2 linked regions of the Styela clava genome follow. The protein of the gene in region 1 purifies or fractionates together with the protein of each later gene. This does not show direct contact. Links are inferred from orthologs where the notes say so. Each region holds a gene or a part of one and is shown in the gene's direction. Other genes may lie near its edges. The genes, in order: protein argonaute-2-like and endoribonuclease Dicer-like.

Region 1 (10,119 bases):
AACCGAAGGGTCGGCAGATGGTACAACTACAACGGTTTCCGACAGTGGCGGACTAACCACAGAACAAATTATAATAATAAGTGTAGTTGGTGGGGTGGTTTTATTAACAATCATTGGAATTCTTATATATTGCTGCATTAAAAAAGTTAAAAAGAAGAGAGCTTTAGAAGGAAAATACAGTCCTTCTGCCAACGAAGAGAAAGGCGGCGTGAGAATGGACGATATGATGACGGTTATGCAACCACCGCCACCAGAAAGACTTATCTGATTTATACTCTTCTGAAATTAAAGCCGTTTATCCGTGCTGCAAAGCACTTCGTCAACAGACGGTATGACAGGTTGGTTGGAGGGATTTGTGTTTGTTTTACTCCACGCCACCTGCAGGAGATAAATTCAAAAGAATTCGGTTCCGTAATTTAGAATAAACCGAGGGATCCAATTGCGGGTGCTATTAATCGCTATTTATTCAATTCTGAAGGTACATTTTCAAGCCCCCATATCATGGGTTTGTTCAAGAAACAATCGTCATTCTTGGGATATACTTCGTCAGATAATAGGCACCAGGACAATTTCTATGCATTTAATTTTCCGCTGTGTTCGGTACCTCGCAGACGCAGCATATTCTATTCTTTTTTTTCCTATTTCAACGTGACTGCGATAAAGTATAAGCCTGACCGCATCAAATTAGGCGGGCCGATATGCTTTGAACGGTGCTTAATAATGCCAATATTTTAACATTGTTTTTCGTTCCATTCAACTTCTTTTTTCAAGTATTATTATGTGCGTTATTTTTACCGTGGGAATCCTGACTGTAGGACCAAATCTTTTTTTGCCAAATAGTCATATTGTGAGATAGGGTTATTTAAATCTTTATATTGAGGACTGAGGTACATTACAGTTTTAAAGTACAAATTCAGCGTTTTGTCAATCAACTGAAAATATGTTTACCTAAACACACGGAAATGATTTAATCGAAAATGTTTATGTACAGAAATTAGAATTGCAATTTCTGATGGTTCATCTATATGTTTCAACTTTACCAAAATTTAATACCTAGTTTGTCACATTCAAAACTTACGGAAATTTGCTGCAAATCAAATATGGTTACCTTAAGATGCAACCTTGAAACAAGTTTCATGGTTATGGTGCAAAATTTTCATTAATTTGGTCTGGAATGATGTTTACCCTTTTCTGACAATCTTTTTTTTATAAATATACGTTAAAATATCTTGTATAACCTATCAAATGTGGTTTCTTTTAAATTGTTCTTTCTGGTCTTTGAAATTTGAGGTTTCTAGTTTATATGAAGGTCATTTTAGATGCATATATATCAGAGCGAGAGGGACAAACAAGCTGCGCTCGAATATAAGTATTTTCATTCGTCCGACCTCGAACATTTGAAGTTATAACCTCTCTCAAGGCCATGACAAGTTTATTGCATTTTATTGTTTTATTATTTCGATAGAATTTTATTAATATTGCTATGTAACTAACTATTAGGCAAAACAATTGTTTTTCTTATTGCTATTCAATATTATATTATGCCTTCTTTTATAACGTTTGTGCACATAGTGTATAATTTCTAAAATAAACTATAAAACAACAACTTTTGGAAATTTGATATCGTAACGCTTCTTCAGATCGTTGCTGTGCAGGATAAGCTTATTTTTTTTTATGTAGTGGCACTAATTAGGGTTGTTCATCTTCGCAGCCTGAAGGTAATATTGTAGAAATATCTAGATTCTAATTCTGACTCAACTATATATTATTTGACCTGATGCCCGCAGTAAATAAGTTCAAATATTTGATTTGGTGATATGCAGTTTTCCACACAGCTCAATACTTTATCGAAATTCGGACTGTGGCCATGTAACTATGAGCTAAGAATATTTGAGCACATGGGAAATGTCAGAGGACTCGCGATAAGTGAAGCATTGCGAAGGGCTGACACTATATTATTGACAATAACCATCCCTCAGAACTTCAAAACAACGTGTATCAGACCCATAACGATGGGTTCTCAATCCAGAATACCTTGAGTTATATGTTATAACCACAACAATATCTAATTTTTCACAAGTCGCAGTATACTGTTTCAATTTGCATGATATATACTTCATGAAATTAACAAGAATCCTCTGTCTAATTATTCGTGAAGTCGGCTTTTATCGTGTATGAAGAGATTTAGCTAAGGAGTTCTCATATGTCCACTTGCCACTTCAATACGCGCGTTTGTCATTGCTTTAAGTTTAAAGTATAAACCATTCAAGACTGAGACTTGCATTCGCATAGCTATTGCACAATGAAGTGGGATGTAAATGAGCTGAAAACAGTTTCATGTACTATCGGAGGGAAGACTCTATAATGATGTTTACCACACTGGCGCTGATTTATAAAACATCAGGCCTGAATCTTTTACTCTGTCGAAAATTGTAACGACTGAAACCGTAACTACTATTCATATTTGCATTTTAGATCAGCAATTCTTATATTTCATGAATTTGACATAAGCTCTAAGATACTTGTCAGTCCGAATATTTTAAATAAATCTTTCGTATATTTCAATTGAAATAAACTCAATTTTTATGCTCACTTCATCAATTCTAAATCCTAAATAGTGTTGTATAAATATGAAAAGGCCTGACGATGTCAATATTGCTGAACGTAATCAATGGACGAATAACGATTGCTTATCTTAGCGCTGTAAGTTTTATTTTCCTGATGCGGTTCGCACTTTTCATCTTTCGATATTGCATTCGTAGAATTGTCTTGTTTTCTTTTCTCAAGTTTTGTTTGGGACCTAAAAATGTCAAAAAATACAAAATTAAAGGCCCTGGTAGCGATTTCATGATTACCCGCTGACCGATATCGATAAAAATTTTCATGTTTTAATAGATTGCCCATTTCCAGTCAGCACGTTATTTTGGATAAAACCCCGACAAACAACATCATAAATGCAAGATCGGTTGTACTAAATTTATTTTAACTTTTCACCTTCTGGCGATAAACGCCAGAAGGTTTTTGTTTACAAAATAGATGACATCTACTTGAGTTCACAGCAGTATATTCTGCTTCACAAACAAGTTCTGTGCTTCAAAAGTGGAGGGTTAATTTTACCTATTGAAAAGAGTGGTAGTTGGTGTGGCAGTATCCCATCGTAAATCTTCAGCAACGCTTGCTTTTTTTAGCTTTTCGTATGGATCTGTAATAGAAAAGTAACTAAAACAACAATTATCCATGTTTTAAATGATCTGTAGCGCTTATTGCGGTTTGAATAACATTTATGCGGTTAAATATTAGTTAGATGTCGCATTATTGAGCTTAAGTATGAGGTTTAATTATAGGTATTGATAAAAACCTGGTGCTTCATCGGGGATCGGGTCACTTTTGTTGCGCTGTTCCGCTTTCCTATCGATCACCGCTTGCTTTCGGCGAGCCTCCCAATGAAGGGCAGACATTTTCTAATTCTAGTTTTATGACAATTAATAACAAAAAAAGTTTGTAATAGTTTTGCATTGAAATAATACGTTATTCTTACGTCATAATGATAATATCAAGTGAACAAGATTGAAGAATGAATCAACAACCTGGCGTTTACTTACAGTTAGTTTGCGGTATTGCTTCATTTTTTCCTTACCATCGGCATTTGATTGAATTACTTCAGAAACACAATTATCAGAAGTTAATGTAAATTATATGAATAAAACTAGGCAAATGAAACGCAGGGTGGCTCCGGAAATGAAAAGGTTAACCAGCAAGAAGAACAACAACATTTTAACAAAACGATACACAGTTACACCTTTTTTCAAAATAAAATTAGGTAACGCAATGGTGAGGTGTATTTTTCTTTGGATAAAAATTCGCGGAAATTTACCAGGTTTGGAATATTTGGTGGCGAGCACGAACCGCATCCGCGACGCACGCGCGTCTTGTGGTGTTTCTTTTTTCCTCGCACGGTTCATAGATAATAAAGAAACAAAGAAATTCATCCTTTGTGTTCGGACGCTTTGTCAGCTATCATTCGTTTCAATCGACGTCACCAACGGTCGAGCCAACCCTCAGGGCTGGGCTTCCCGATTTCGATTTTCTTGTTGTAGCGACCGTGCGTTGTCTTACGTATCTTGAGGATTCATAGTTTCGATTTTGTGCGTGCTGTAAATAACATTGTATATAACAGTAATCAAGTATATATTTCGAACAGCTTCCGTTAAACTGTAACAGTAAGGTACCGGTACCGGTACTGTCTGAGTGTACCGCACGGTGTTACTTTGACAGGTTGTCTAGTTGTTGTAAATCTAAAATGGTAAAACGAAACTCTAAAACTGGAGAAACAAGATATATCGCCCAGTAAAAAGAAAAATATATAAACAAAATAAAAAACAAAATAAAATTTCGCCACGCCATATTACAGTATTAATAATTTTGTAAGGATCGCCAAATTCTGAAATTGGATATAACAATTTTCTGGCAGTCTAGATTTTAGTTCAGAAGTTGAAAGTGATAATAACCTGACATTATCTACGGAGTTATCTTTTGCTGACTAATTATTATTTCAGTCAGTTTTTATGTACCATATTATTGTAACTGTATTCTGGTATTAGACCAGTTACTGAGTTACCAATATGAAGCTGTAAATAGTTTTGAGAAAATGTAGGCTAGTATGAAATAGATTGATGAATGTCTGAATGTGGTTTTGGTAATTAGGATAAATACAATTGCCCGAAAATGCAACTTCTGAACTTTAAAATTTTTCTTTTAAATCAGGCCTCAGTCTAGTCCCACATGTCTGGCTGGCTTACTAATTCAGTACGGCACAGCTCTCCGATACCAAGGATAACTTCCACATTAAAAGACGTCAATTATAACTGCGATTGCAAACCTCTTCTCTACCAGACAGTCTCGGCCTCCATACCGACAACAAACGGAAAAGAAGCTCAATCAAAAAATGTCACTATTGGATTTTTTGGAAAAAAGAATCTGATTTACCATAGGTTAAAAAATAATTTTACAGTAGCATTCAACAGTTTTTAGCAAAAAAGCAATTTCGGTCATGTGACAGCCACGTCGTGATTAATTTAGATTATCATTGAGACAAGCACGGTGTGATCTGCCGTCGTGCCATACGCCCTCATTTCAGAGACAAATTGAGCGTTTGTTTTATTGAATGTTGGGACATCTTGGAATTGGAGAACTGTGACCTACTGTAATTCTATAATTAAAATTTGCTATAAACTGATATCTGGATATATTCAATTCAAACAGGCAATCTGATTCTGTAATTCAAATGAAGTCAAAAAGCAGAGATGTGGTATAATTCGTTATTTGGTTTCAGAATTATTCAATGGCCATGGCTTCATCGTAAATGTCTCAGGCTGCTCTTATCATCATCTCATATTTGCATATTATGTCATTCCAAATCTTCATCTGATCTGACTTCGTCATCCAAAAATAACGTTACTATACAGACAGTCGTCCAATACACGCAGACGATCACCCGGAATCGAGCAAGCTATGTCGTATACACAGCCAAATTCTCTTTCTTTTTCTCATTGTAACTATCCCGATATGCGACAGGCCGCTGGGCGGCTGGCGTTAGTGAGATCATTATCATAGACGCAGACCATTTGAGCGATCTTTGGCAAGCTCTGACTTGATCATGACATAGTGATGTATTTCTTGGTTGGCGTAATCAGATGAGCGTTAGGAATAACATATGCAAAAATGGTTATGCCACTAAACTAAATTAGACCTATCATAGTTCTTAGTCCGATATAACGTTGATAAGAGAATGCATTAATATAATTTACTTATACTAACTTTGGTACAGTAATTGTATCTGATTATACTTCTGGTACAAATACAGAACTGAATTGTGTTTTACAGCAAATTTTATATTATTGGAATATTTTAAATTTTACCTCAAAAAAGCAACTGCTCAAGCAGTAAAAGACTGCAAAATGTTCACTCCTCAGCAGTCATTTAACCCACAATACCAACCCACGACAGCAGGAACACAGCAACAGCCCCCTACACCAGTTGCTGCTGCTCCAACTGCAGTTACCCCTCCAGTCAGACCTGCAGGTAAACAGTTTCATTTCAAATATTATTCAATACCTTATGCTTACATTTTTCAGATTTGTCTTATCTGATGTGTCCTAATTTAGGTTATGTTTGACTGAAATATTATAGCAGTTTAATGTACATTTATAAAATTAACTGGATACTTAATTTTATTTATTCTCGCAGTTATAAGAAGTCGAATATGGTTTATTTATTTTGTCTGAATTAAAATGTTTTTGGTGTCCCATGTGATCATATTTTCTAATAAAATTGTTTTCAATTTACTCCTAAAAATAAAAAAAATTGGAAATATATACAAACGTTCAGATTGTGTTTCGTCTTTCTTTTTTCTAGTTATGTCTTTATTTTATATTCAAAATAACGCTTATTTTTGTAGTTGGGGATCCAAGGTTTCCGATTGTTGGTACGTCAAAAGCCATAGACTTCCAAGCACCAGCCCGTCCAAATGTGGGTCAGATTGGAAAACCAATCTGGCTGAAAGCAAATTATTTTAAAGTATCCATTCCTAATGGAGATATTCATCATTATGACATTGATATCCATCCAGACAAATGCCCAAGGAGAGTAAACAGGTAGTTAATTGAGCGTATATTTTTTGATTTTCTTATTTTAGTGAAGATAGAAGAGTGCCAATTCTAGCATTAAATTTTGGTATTTAAACTTCTGTTGTTGTTGTTTTTTAATTAAAACAATTTTTCAACTCAACCTTACTCAGTTTTACATGTTTTTTTTTTTAATCATAATTGAAGCTATAAGAAATTTCGAATATTTGCTTTATTCTTCTGTTATACTGATCAGTATTCAGAATTCCTCTTAACGATTTGCTTGTTACGGTAATTTTTCTTTGTTATAGATTTGAGGTTTTACAGAAACTCAATATTAGATGAAAATATAAGTATTTTATATAAGTCCATAGTATTGATAGTTGATATTATATTATCGAGTTTCCGTAAAACCTCAAATGTTTTATTGAGTATTCTTCATTATGCATTTTCAACTTTCAGAGAAATTATTGAAACAATGGTGGGAAATTATCGTACTGCAATCTTCCAAGACAGAAATCCAGTGTTTGATGGCCGTAAAAACCTCTACACAGCACAGCCACTGCCTATTGATAATCAGAAGGTTCATACATTTTTTTTTTCATTCAAAATATATGTATAGAGTGAATATGAAACCACTTTCATAAGTTCGAAATTCTTTGAATATTTAAATTATTTATTTGTTGGGACATTGAAATTTCAACAATATGTGTTGGGTTTCTGGGTTCTAGTTAGTATTATGATGTTTTCAAAGATTATGGACAATGGAGAGTTGTATTTAAATACCCATTTTATCGTATAATATTATAAAATTACTATGTTTTTGAATCTGAAGTATTTACACGATGGTAAACAATTGAAACATTGCCCTTTTTCACGAGCATTGCGTCAGAATTCGAATGAGGAAGTGTCTGCTTTTGTGTTTATAGCATATGCTGAATGTGAATGTTTACTCCAGTATCGGTTCTCTAACATTTTTTTAGAAAAGCCCCTTGTATTTATCAATGGTGAAAATGCCAGCACATAAGCTTGTCTTTTATATATTGTTTTTTCAAGAATTTTCGTATTCTATGATATCATCAACTAAAATATCTTGGGAATCGGGTCAAAATAAACCTAAAACATTGTCTGATTTTGTTTTCTCTTATTTGGTTGTGTGTCTATGACTAAGTAGTCATAGCGCATGGGGTGTGATTTTATTGACATTTTAGAAATTAAAATACAGACCGAATATTAATAATTACTTGTGTGCTAGTCGGTAATGGTTTGGGCCCTGATATTTAGGGTGTTGTTGCTGTTGTTACCACCATATTTATAATTATTATATTTGTTGGGAAACTTGCAATATCAAACAATCTATCGTAATTTAATTCAGTCAAAATATTTCGTCATGTGTCTTAAATCTGAATAGATTATTATCTATTCTATATTACTAGTTACATAACTGCTCAAAAAATGATTTTATCTTTACCGAAAATCAAACGAATAAAATATGACTTAATAATTTTTAAGATTAGTTAGATTACCTGAAAATTTTTAGCATTGGCACATAACTGTATTGTAATTTTTACTCTAAAGTACTTGACCACACCAATTCTACATGACTTCTGCTGATCAATATTATCATTATCAATCATATTCATGGGATTAAAAGTGCTGATGTGATCATGTGACTGACAGTGCATAGATCTTCATTGTTAGATCCTATATAAATGAATATTGTCAATGAATCTTTATTGATCATCAAGTTTGAACTATTATTACCTATTGTAATATACAAGGGTGACTTTGAAAGCATCTAATATTTCTTTTACTTTTTGTTTATAGCTTGAAGTGGAGGTGACATTACCTGGGGAAGGCAAAGATCGTACTTTTCGGGTTGCAATAAAATGGTGCGCTCGTGTATCTCTCTATTCATTGAAATTGGCATTGGATGGAAAAATGCATGGGATTCCATTTGAAACTGTGCAGGCGTTAGACGTTGTCATGCGTCATTTACCTTCCATGAAGTGAGTGTACTTGTTCTTTTATTTGTGCGCATACATCCATAGCAACATGAAATTGTCTATGGTTGTTTGGGATGGATATTATTAAAACTTGAGGTTTTCATTTTATTTGTCTACTCTGTCTAACTAAATGTTTTATTATGTTCCAATTTGTTAATATTTAACAATTGTGCATACCAACTGTCTGCCTGCTTTTAAAGTAGTTTTGACAGATTTTCAAAAATTAGTCATGTAAATCATGTTTTTGAACGTTTCAGTTTTTAGCCATTTCTCATGACAATTCATTATTCACCTCTTTGGCCTCAAAAGAAAGTGCAAATTGCTATCATTCATTCTACCTTTATATTTCCGTATAAGATAATTTAATAAATACTGCATTTTTTTCTAGATATACACCTGTCGGTCGATCATTCTTTTCATCTCCAGAAACATCAACTCCATCTCTTGGACATGGAAGAGAAGTTTGGTTTGGTTTTCATCAATCTATGAGGCCTTCGCAATGGAAGATGATGCTAAATATTGATGGTACATTAACGTATAGCCTATATATAACCATTAATAATTGGCTTGGAATGTTATCGACCACACACTTGGAGTTTCACTCGTTAAAATTTCTTACTCGCAAATACTAGACAAATTTATTCAATTTCAAATTGTCAGTGCTTAATAAAGCTGAAGTCGCTAGAAGACTTTTATTTGTTAAAAAAAAAATCGGGCCTGACAGAGTTTATTATTTTAGCCTATTTCAATTTGTGGGAATGCTGTTTTGACATTTGCCTTAGTTTCCATGTATTTCAAGTTCAAATTTTTTAATGTGGGATTATATTATATCCCTATAGTAACATATTTTCATATTTGATAGACTCGTAAGTCTGTGGCAGGCAAATGTATATGAGAACTTATTTATGATTTTGAATTGCTTTTTGCTTTTGTTATCATATTTTCATTGAATCTATTCTTCATTTAGTTTCTGCCACTGCTTTCTACAAAGCTCAGTCTTGCGTTGATTTCCTATGTGAAGTGTTAGAGATTCACCGTGATGATTTACACATGATTAGAAGTTTGACAGACTCTCAAAGAGTCAAATTTACAAAAGAGATTAAAGGATTGAAGGTATTTTTTTGTCTTCTGTTCGCTTCAAAAGAAAGGAAATCCAGAAATGTAATAAATCAACTTTTTTTAAGGTTGAAATAACCCACTGTGGATCGGCAAAACGAAAGTACAGAGTGTGCAATGTTACTCGACGTGCTGCTTCTCATCAAACATTTCCATTGCAACTTGAATCAGGACAAACCATAGAATGTACTGTCGCTCGATACTTCCAGGAAAAACATCAGCGTACTTTATCGTAAGTCAACTTTCCAATTGTCTGTTGATTGGGTGATACCTGTTTGTGTTTTATAATTGTAAATGACATCCAGGATGTCTAAAATGAATGGGATAATTGAGTATCAGTACATTCAAAATTGATATATGATTTAAGAAGAATT
Region 2 (10,316 bases), on another chromosome or scaffold:
ATCATGAAAGCACAATCAATTTACTCAAAATTTATATTTTACATATCTCAACTTGTAGTAATTTTATAGCTAAAATGGATGATACAGAATCACTAGCTGAATTTAGTGCCATTAAGATCAATGCCGAACATAAGGATCTTATTCATGACCTTGCTTTCGATCATTATGGAAAGCGTATGGCGACTTGTTCCAGTGATCAAACTGTCAAAGTATGGGATTTAGATGATGATGGTGATTGGTACTGCAGTTCCAGCTGGAAAACTCACAATGGTTCAGTCTGGAAAGTATGTTGGGCTCACCCTGAATTTGGGCAAGTGCTTGCAACATGTTCCTTTGACAGAACTGCTGCTGTATGGGAAGAGATTGTTACTGATACGACAACATTGAAAAATAATAGATCATGGATACGTAAATCGTCTCTTGTGGATAGTCGAACATCTGTAACTGATGTAAAATTTGCTCCAAAACATCTCGGTCTACAACTGGCTACTTGCTCTGCTGATGGAATTGTACGTGTTTACGAAGCACCTGATGTTATGAATCTGGCTCAATGGTCTGTTCAGCATCAAATCAAATTGAAATTAGGTTGCAGTTGTTTGTCCTGGAACCCCTCAAGTTTTTACAAACATCCTTCAATGATTGCAGTGGGTAGTGATGATAATAACCCATCCGTGGGCGGCAAGGTTTTAATATATGAATACAGTGAAATCAATCGTGATTGGGTCAAAGTTCACACAATAATGACAATAACGGATCCTGTTAATGATATTGAATTTGCTCCGAATTACGGTGCGATGAGACACACGCTTGCCGTAGCGTCAAAGTGTGTTCATATTTTTGTTATGAAGCTTTTGAGTGATTCTAAAACATCTGGAACTGAATCGTCTAGCTATTCTGTGAGTGAAGTCGCTAAATTTGATGCTCACAATAGCAAAGTATGGAGAGTTAGTTGGAATGTTCTTGGTACGGTGTTGTCATCGTCTGGAGATGATGGAAAAGTTCATCTCTGGAAAGCTAATTATTTAGATAATTGGAGAAAAGTTGGAACATTGAAAAATTTGCAAGATAATAAAACAACACAAAGCAATGTTTCAAGACAAAATAGCTCCAATGATAAAGGACTGTCCAATTCTCAACAAACTATCAGGTATGCTGGTGGAAATGTTCGAGGTGGACAACTTTTTTAATAAAATTCTGCATGTTTGCAAGTTTTAAATATTTTTTCTAATTTCATTCAATTCGAAACTTGCAATTCTGAGTGTTTGCATATGCTTTGTTCCCAATAATCTTGTCTTATAATTTATATAATTTTGAGGCATGGTTATGTATTTGCTATATTCAAAAAAATTGTACATATAGAAATAAAGTGAAATTTGTGATTGCATATTGAACTAATTTAGATTGGTAATGTAGTATTGCTCATCTCAGTCAAGCATAGGCTGCTAGGGCAATACATAGTGAAATTGTCACAAATTTGGGGTGATTGCTAGACATTGCTTAGGGTAAAGTGGTGGCTTACAAAGATTGAGAATTATCGTTTATCCTCATATATGAGCCGATTTCACATATAAGCCGACCCCGTAAAAAGGCCCTTCAGCATTGTCGTCTATTATGGAATGTTGGCATATCGGTATTGACGTTTTCAGCAGCGGTGAATTTTTATAAAAAATTCGTATTTAAGCCGACCCTACAAATCATACGCCCTTATTGGTAGGAAATTAGCATGGTTTGAGTGGAATTAAGTTAGCATAATATCATTTCGTTTGAGTGCGATTAGAGTTATGCGCTTTTATTAAGCCAAATTTTTAGTGCGATTAGAGTTATGCGCGTATAAGCCCTTAGTTTCGCAACTTTTTTGAGCTTTGTATTCGGCTTATATGCGAGGATATCAGTGATTTTTTTTAATCATCGTCAGTGCCTAAATATTAAATTAACAGAGGGGACCATTGAAATAGCAACTGGGGCTATTAATCTATCTATTCGCAACTAATTCATGATGCCTTGGACATATCGTAATTGAAAAATATTACTGTGACATGATTTTCTGTTTTTTTTTCTTGACATATAACCAAAAAACACATGTATAGGACAGGCCTACATGGTGAATAATATGCTCAGGCTGTGAAGTGGAAACTGTGGTACCATGAGATTCACAGGTGCTAGCAGCTTTGGTGTGAATTAACTGTAAGTTTACTCCAACTTCATTGAGTATTACTGGTGGCCATTTCGCAGAAGATTATGACCTATGATCAATGTTCCCTCTAATTTTTTGTAGTATGTGTGCGCAGAAGTTTTGGTGTGTGCGCACTTTTTTTGAAATGACTAATATTTGTGCAAATACCAATGAAGAAATTTTAGCGTTCTAACCGGGTAATGGGTGGGCCAACAACAAACTTTATCAACCTGCCAACCGAGAACATTGTTACATTACATCGAAATAGGTCTGTGCGCAGTAAATCTATGCGAGTGCGCAACCGCGGGCACACGCGCACACTTTAGAGGGAACACTGCTTATGATACATTGCTTTGAGTATATATATTCTCAAAAAAATGTCACCAAAATTATATTTGACCAGTTTGACCACGAGTACTGTGTCTGTAATGCAGCGCTCATAGGTGTAGTTTCAGTTTGGGTGTTATTTGTATTTGAGCAAGTTGGTATGTAAATACCGGTATATCTAATTTGTTGATAACCATCATTTTTTATTTGAAACTGCCATTTATTTTCATTTTCTTTCAGCCTTTTCTGTTGTTTTTCTAGTTTTAATATTTTTTCTTAATTAAACAATCTGCAATCAGTGCCAATTTTTGTTTGAGGAAAAATCTTACTTTCTGCTATCGCATTGACACAATTTCTCAGAATTTTAAATTATTTGGTGGTTATGCTGAAATTATGTATCGAATATTAACAATTAGTGATTATTTTTAATTCTTGTTTGATCACACATGTATCTGGAGTTATTTGTTCCTTCTGCCTATGATTTTAAATATGGTTACTGTCAAATCAAATGGAGAAAAACAAAATGAATTTTTTCTACAAGGGATCAAAAAACAGAGTTCTGGTCATTTGGAGCATATTCTAGAACAGTGGTTCTTAAACGGTGGGGCGCGCCCCACAAGGGAGGCATAGACAATTTTGAGTGGGCGTGTAGCTAATAAAAAATAAAAATATTTGTTACATTTAATCTTGCCTATTTTATTTTGCCCAATCTTTGTTGGATATTTTCATTTCAAAACTTTTCATTATTTACGTTCCATCCACGCATTTTCAACAGGTTTTTTAGATAAAATATACTTTCGCTTTGCTATCTGTTATTTGTAGCTTATTGTTAGCTAGTTATTTTTTGACTTAATAAATTCCAAAAAGGGCTCGTGCCTTAAAAATTTTGAGAACCACTGTTCTAGAAATGACCATAACTTTTCTGCAAATCGTCCTAGATTACTAAAACTTTTGCGAAGAATCTTACACAAACAGAAGTTTAAGATTGTTAAATAAATATCAATTACATAGAAGTACCGTAATTAAGAAATTTATGGGCTCTGTTTTATGGGTCACCTTGTATATATATCCCTGTAGTTGGGAGTTTGATAAATCTACAATTTTTTGAGAGAATTATTGAATTTATTTGGGAAAGTCCTAATTTAATGTGAGATGTATGTTCTTATGTTTAATTTTAAACCATCGTAGACTATCATGCTGTGAATTTTCAGGAGTGGATTCATGAGATTTGTGCCTGGAAGAGAACCACCATCACCTCGACCTATCGATCCTCGATTCGAAAATGCTTATTATTGATGTTCCTATAGTGATAATGTTTATCAACTTCGTTGGCGAACTTTATTAAAATCTATTTCATCACTTTTACTGCAGTGGAGATGAATATAATGAATGAATAAAATTTGTTTTTGGACACTCAGTGGACTTGTGAATCGATTTGCAATTGTTGTTGTTGTTAAAAAATTTACTTTTGTAACTAATGGACCAATAAATTTCATATTTTTAGTATTTGCAGATGGAAGAAAAACTAGAAGTCTATTCCTTTTTTATTTTTTAAATTCCTGAGTCATATGGGACCTGCTTTATTGCCTTTACAGTTAAATTAAAGGGAACGCTATTATCCTGTAATGGTCATGGCTTCTTTGTCAATCTTGTCTGAAAACAGGAAAATCTGTGTTTTCCCACCTATTAATCCGCTTTGCCCATGTCTTTTGCCAGTACATTTTGGTTCTACCAGTATTTAGTGGATGCCACCAATACCCTTTACTGATTATTATTTCAATTAATAAAATGACTCAGCAGTCAACTTCATGGGACATTGGTATAATCTGTGGCCCATGTTTTATAATTGGTCTCTTCCTCCATTTCTTTTTTATAAATGTATTCATTTTGAGTATTCTGATATACTGTATATTTACGTATGTGTTTTTGCTGACTTCACATTTTCACTAAATTAGGGTTTACACTTCAAAACATTAACAATATTTTCAAGACCATGCTTTGTAACCCACTTTGTAGGATTTCAAATTTTCATATCGTGCTTCATAACTCACTCTGCACATATCATTCAAATCGAATGTGGCCTGGCCCCAAATTTCTCATGGCCTGGCTTCTTTTGAGTGGCCTGGATCTAGAGTCACAAAAAAGTTATCACTCCTGTTGCACCTAGATGTAGAAAGCCCTTGGGATTGGAATAACTTGGTCCTAATTCACTTCATCATCTGACTTAGTGAAGTGCTGTGTATGATTGGACTATGCTTCATGGCTCAGTTCCAAAATCTTTTTGACACGCCATGGGACCTCTTTTTTATAAAAATGTATCTAGGTTTGCTCTTAACGAGAGCCAATCTGTTATTTTAACAAAAACAAAAAAGCCAATGAACGAAAGTTAAGCATTGCAGTCGTTAAATTTACTAATCAAAATTAATTTACTATTATTTATGTAATCATCGCAAATGCTACCCGGGATACACCTCTGCTCATTTCCCTCGGAGAACCACTGTTGCTCCATAGGGGGCAGAGGGCCCAGTTGGAGAAACACCCGACTAGAACAAGATATACCCGCATACTTTAGCTAGTCCATCATTAAACACTAGGTCATCATATCTCCATATATTTTAAACCACCTAATAATAGGAATTGATATTTTGTACATTGTGTTTATGGCTTTAGATATACCGGTTGAATTATATTCCATAATGCTTCTTAACTTGAAGTTCTTGATGATAATGTTATTGGAAAAAGCTTTTGTAAAAATCTAATTGTAGTCATTTGTATGAATGAAAACAACTGTTTAATGTGAAATCTATAGTTGCCTATCTCAACTCTGTGAGGAAACACTGAATATTTGCTTGCATTATGTTCTTCCTTTATTATTAACTTACAAATGCATAGTTTCATTTAATCACTGATTGTTGTAATTTTTTGGTTTTCTTATCTATTTATAAGTTGCAATAAAATTCTGTTTAAAACAAATAATGGACTAGTCACTAGAATCATAAATGTCAGTGATCTTTTATTCATGAATAATCCACATATGAGAATAAAGCAAGATGCCTGCAAATGTATTTACACCCAGGCCCTATCAGGTATTTAAAATTTGTGAAATTAAGTCAAATGTTGTTGAACTTTTGCATAGTGAAATGATATCTTTGGTTCAAATATTTATAGTCGTCCTATGATTATATTTCCACACAATTATGTCAATTACGGTAGTAACAAATTGATGAGGTTGAGATTTGTAGCATTTTGGATGGCTTTGCCTTTCGTACATGTAAGCCCAACATGCTGTTCATTGATAGCACTGTTAAGTATTTTAAACAATTCCAGTTAGCAGATATACTCTTGTGTGCTTTCCGTGCAATATTTCAACTGGGCAAGTTCAAATTATTTCTAATACTACATCTTGGATTAGGATGTGAGTGCAGGAAAACAAAATAGCAAAAAGTTCACTTTTCAAAAGAGGGCTTTATATGAATAGTTTTTTTTTAACCATGCTGTCAATTTCAAAATATATTTACCGGACCATATGGTGCGCTGACAATAAATTGCTCAAATTGGGTTTTTATTCATACATAAGGCCCATCAGGCAATATAAGACACACTGGGTACTGGTTTTGACTGGAGACAATAAATCCCTACCTGATCCATACAATAGGCACATGCTTTATAAGCCACACCATCGGATTGTTGCGAAATAAAAAATATTTCATGTGTGCCTTATGGTTCGTAAAATACAATAATACAGTGAAGTACATTGAAACAGTAAAATGTGTTATCTCTGAAGGTTCACCCATGAGTGGTTTATATCATTTATTAAAATCAATTTTTATTGGTATTAACCCACAACTTCATTACTAATATTTCAGATAGAGCTGGTAGAACGAGCTTTGAAAAGAAATACGATTGCCTGCTTGAATTCAGCATCTGCAAAATCATTTGTATGGATGACATATCTTCGAGAAATATTGGGAGAATCTTTCAGACCTTATAGTAGTGATGGTAGACAAACAAATGCATTTGTATTGTTTTATTCAGGTGAGTGTTGGCTATGTAACTGTTGTTTATTTTTGGAATTGATGTTATAAATTGTTTGTAATGATATCAACTATGATCAAAATGAAGAGTGGGGATAATTATTTACCAGAAGATTGTTGTGTATGGTGATACAAGTAACAGCTTGTTGGTTACGGCTTTCTCCGCCATCAAGTGCATGCATTTGAAACAAAAAACTGATTGACTATTCGCATATCTGATTTGGACTGGTAACCGAACGAGAGGCCATGGTTAGCCATAGGATTAAGCAAACTTATCATCTCTACACTTCCTACAATAAATATGAAAACCCTATCCTATTACACTATGTATATCCGTTTTTGAGCATCATGTTGATTATTTATAACCACATGATATCAGATAAGTTTTAGCTAGTTTTTCATTTTTTCGTGATTCGAAACTCTTATCGTACTACCTTTTATCATATCCTATATTTTCAGCATGACATAGGCAAAATTAGGCATTATTAATCTTTACCATTATTTGTAATACCACGGATAAGATTTATAAATTCAATGTACTGAGGTTGGTAATAGAGCATGATTTTTTTATTCCATAAAAACATTTTTTGCATTCTTCCTCCAGCATTCATTTTAATAAGTAATTCAAATATCTCTGACTAAATATCAATTTTATATATATATATATATATTAAGATTATTTTGTTCGTGAGTATGGTTTAAAGCTACGATGTCATCTTGACATGAGCATTGCATCAATTACATCTGATAAAGGTTCACAACTTGACTCATGGGGATGGGATGAAATTATGTTACAAAACATGGTGAGCCAAAAAAAATAACAATTTGTTCATATCTGATTATTCAAGTATTATGTAGTTTTGTTATTGTTATTTCAGATGTTTCTATAAGAGTTTGTGTGGAATTCGTGTTTGAAAATACATTTGAGAGTGGGAATTTAATCTTTTATCATTTCTTGAATATAATCTTATTTACAGATTATTGTGACAACACCTGAAGTGTTTTCTGAAGCTATTACAAATAATATGTTTGATATTGAATTTGCAAGTATTTTGATATTGGATGATTGTCATACGATTTTAAGTCCTGACAGTGACTACAGAAAGATTTTACAGGTATAAAAAACGTAGATTTTTATCATTTTGGCTGATAAATTTGAGAAATTATACGTAATTTTACCTATTTTTATATTCATTTGAACATGAAATTGTTGTTGTTAATTATGAGTGCCAAACTTTTAGAAAACTTTTGTTCTTGTATTAGACATATCTTCAGCATAGTTAGTTTTTATAGGATTATATTGTGGTGGATTCTTCTCATTTACCTAGTGGTTTCACCATTGGACCTATATTATTGTAGCAGGTGAAATATTCTCAGTTTCGAACCCCGTGCTCATCACTTCATATGCTGTAAATTGGTTAGGCAGCATCATACCATTTTTTTTGGTCCTATCTAAAGAAAACTTCTTGCAATAGCTTCAGTGTACGTAGTAGCCTCAGTGGCTTCTAGCAGGACTGGGGAGTTGAATTCAGAACATGAAGCCAGAGCGGGAGCCAAGCTTAGAAAAAAATAACTAGTGTGGCTGGGGCCTACTGAAACTTTCATGGGCCTCAGCAACTGATGCCTAATATGATTAATGAAAAATCCATTCTTTCCTGCCTATATTATATTTATAATTTTCTAATACTACATAAAAAGTTTGAAGTTGAATTTATATACTTGAATGCCTAATTTCCAAATTTGAAACCCCTGTATAACTGCTATTGGACTGATGTTTCATGTTTGTGGTCGAGCTAAAAACCCTAATGGCCCTGGAGCCAGAGCTCTGACATAAAAAATGAAGCACTGGAGCTGTAGCCACAGTTTGAAGGAAGCCATGATTTTAAACCAAGCCCTGGCTTATTGTATGAAGCCATGTTCAGAGTTAAATGTGAAATTATCTTATCAATATAGATAAAATAATATAATTCAATTTTACATATGGAAGATTAAATTTTGATTAGTGTAATTTAGGTAATCTGAATTTGTTAAGTTTAGTCTTTTAGGTAGAAAAATTTGAAATATTGTGTTGATTTTAAGTCAGGCATCTTTCACTGTATTTTCTACATTATTTAAAAGGTTTTTGACAAAGCGGGAAAAAATCCGTACATTCTGGGGTTAACTTGTTCGCTACTACGAGAAAATGGCTCAGCATCAGTATTGGAAAAAGACATCAATGAAATGGAGAGATTACTTCATTGTAAGGTAATAGAACCCTTCTGATGACTGAAACTAATTTTTCTTTTTCTAATTGAAATGAGTCTCAATCAATACAGTCATTACTTATGGACATGCCTGTTTATAAATGTCAGCATTTGGTATATTAATAATTAAATATTTTATGTTGAAGTGATTAAGTGACTTTATTTGAATAATTTACTTTTTAAAATGCATTTAAATTTAATATTACTGAATATAGAATTTTGAATATTATTATAAAGTAGGGTCATGGGCAATAGAAAAATTTGCAGAATTCATCGTTAATTGATAGAAATTGAAACTGAGATGCAGAATAGTGGAGATGATATTTTTAAAATCTTTAATTCATTATATCCTATTATTTATTGTTAATATTAACTCTGATAGCATCACAGGTTAAAATCACTGGTTCAAATAAGTGATATCAAATCAAAAAATTCTGGTTCTTCCAAGCGTTAGGAGCTCCTCACTCAGTAGTAGCTTCTTGTGCAGAGTCTTGTTCAGAGCAAAAGGTTTATAAATATCTTATTGGAAAAATATTTACTGTTTCAATCTGGCAATATTCTTAGGCATATGCTTGGATTGGATTGTGAAAAATTATAATATTTTTACCTTTTTCAGGCAGAGACTGCGACAGACTTGATTGCATTGGATGGATTTTCTCCATCACAACCAGATGAAAAAATTGTTCTTTGTGCTGCAAGAAAACCTTCAGTAGAAATTTATAATAATGATGACAAACTGAAAAGAAAAAAACCTGACAAAATTTGCTCTGAAATAAGAGAAATATTAACTCCTGCAATTGAGTGGTTGAAAATATGCAAGGTATATATATTAGTTGTATAAATTCATTTAATTTGATATTTATTTTTACAGAAAGTACAATAATGTTGTTGGACTACAAACACACATCCTATTCATTTTTATCTGGATAAAGTTATGTAAGACATAATATTAAGACCGCCAGTTCACCACTTGTCAGTGCTATATTTAGGAATAACTACCGTAGCTAATTTACCATTGAACTTTAAACCCTGTGTAATCTGTACATGGGACACGGATTGTCGAGGAAGTTATTATTAATCACTTATAAAACATGCATCTGATCACCCCCCCACACGATCCAAATTTTGCGTAGGTTTTCACAGGGTACACTTGAAATGTATTCCTATCAATTAGTTGAATAATTGGTTGTGTCACGTCAACACATCACTATTGTCATCTTATTCATTGTATTCTAAAGCAATAAAATATAAATAATGTAAATTTTCAAGTCATGCACCTCAAAAAATATACTTTCGGCCTTTTATTCGTTTTTGCATCTTAATTTTGATCGATTCTCTAGATTAGCAGCCATCGTTAAAGACCTACCGGTACTATTTTGTTAAGAAATGAAATTTTACTGTTTCAGTTAGGTTTCCTATGGTCCAGTACTCAATTGATCATTTATCATTTCTTATAAAATCAATATAACTTTAGATTTCATCAAAAACTGTGTTAGTTAAATCAGAGGAAACGAGGGAGGAAAATTGTATAAAAGAACA

What was found.
Region 2: the proteins of protein argonaute-2-like (region 1) and endoribonuclease Dicer-like purify together in Drosophila melanogaster (affinity purification with western blotting; 5 studies listed by BioGRID, with this or other methods). This does not show direct contact. The link is inferred for Styela clava from reciprocal best matches to the Drosophila melanogaster genes AGO1 and Dcr-1.

The regions. Positions count from the first base shown.
Region 1 is NC_135255.1:14,039,516-14,049,634, forward strand, and holds the start of protein argonaute-2-like, read left to right. Parts: upstream 1-5,869; 5' UTR 5,870-5,957; coding exon 5,958-6,081; intron 6,082-6,457; coding exon 6,458-6,653; intron 6,654-7,085; coding exon 7,086-7,206; intron 7,207-8,450; coding exon 8,451-8,632; intron 8,633-9,017; coding exon 9,018-9,154; intron 9,155-9,596; coding exon 9,597-9,742; intron 9,743-9,813; coding exon 9,814-9,977; intron 9,978-10,119. Other genes in the region: uncharacterized protein LOC120331088, read right to left, coding at 2,650-2,800, 3,118-3,202, 3,359-3,458.
Region 2 is NC_135251.1:17,065,952-17,076,267, forward strand, and holds the start of endoribonuclease Dicer-like, read left to right. Parts: upstream 1-5,425; 5' UTR 5,426-5,550; coding exon 5,551-5,586; intron 5,587-6,366; coding exon 6,367-6,535; intron 6,536-7,209; coding exon 7,210-7,337; intron 7,338-7,511; coding exon 7,512-7,649; intron 7,650-8,652; coding exon 8,653-8,778; intron 8,779-9,393; coding exon 9,394-9,597; intron 9,598-10,251; coding exon 10,252-10,316. Other genes in the region: nucleoporin SEH1-like, read left to right, coding at 75-1,147, 3,712-3,796. UniProt on the Drosophila melanogaster protein: Endoribonuclease which functions in microRNA- (miRNA) gene silencing and, independently of its ribonuclease III activity, also acts in the short interfering RNA- (siRNA) gene silencing pathway.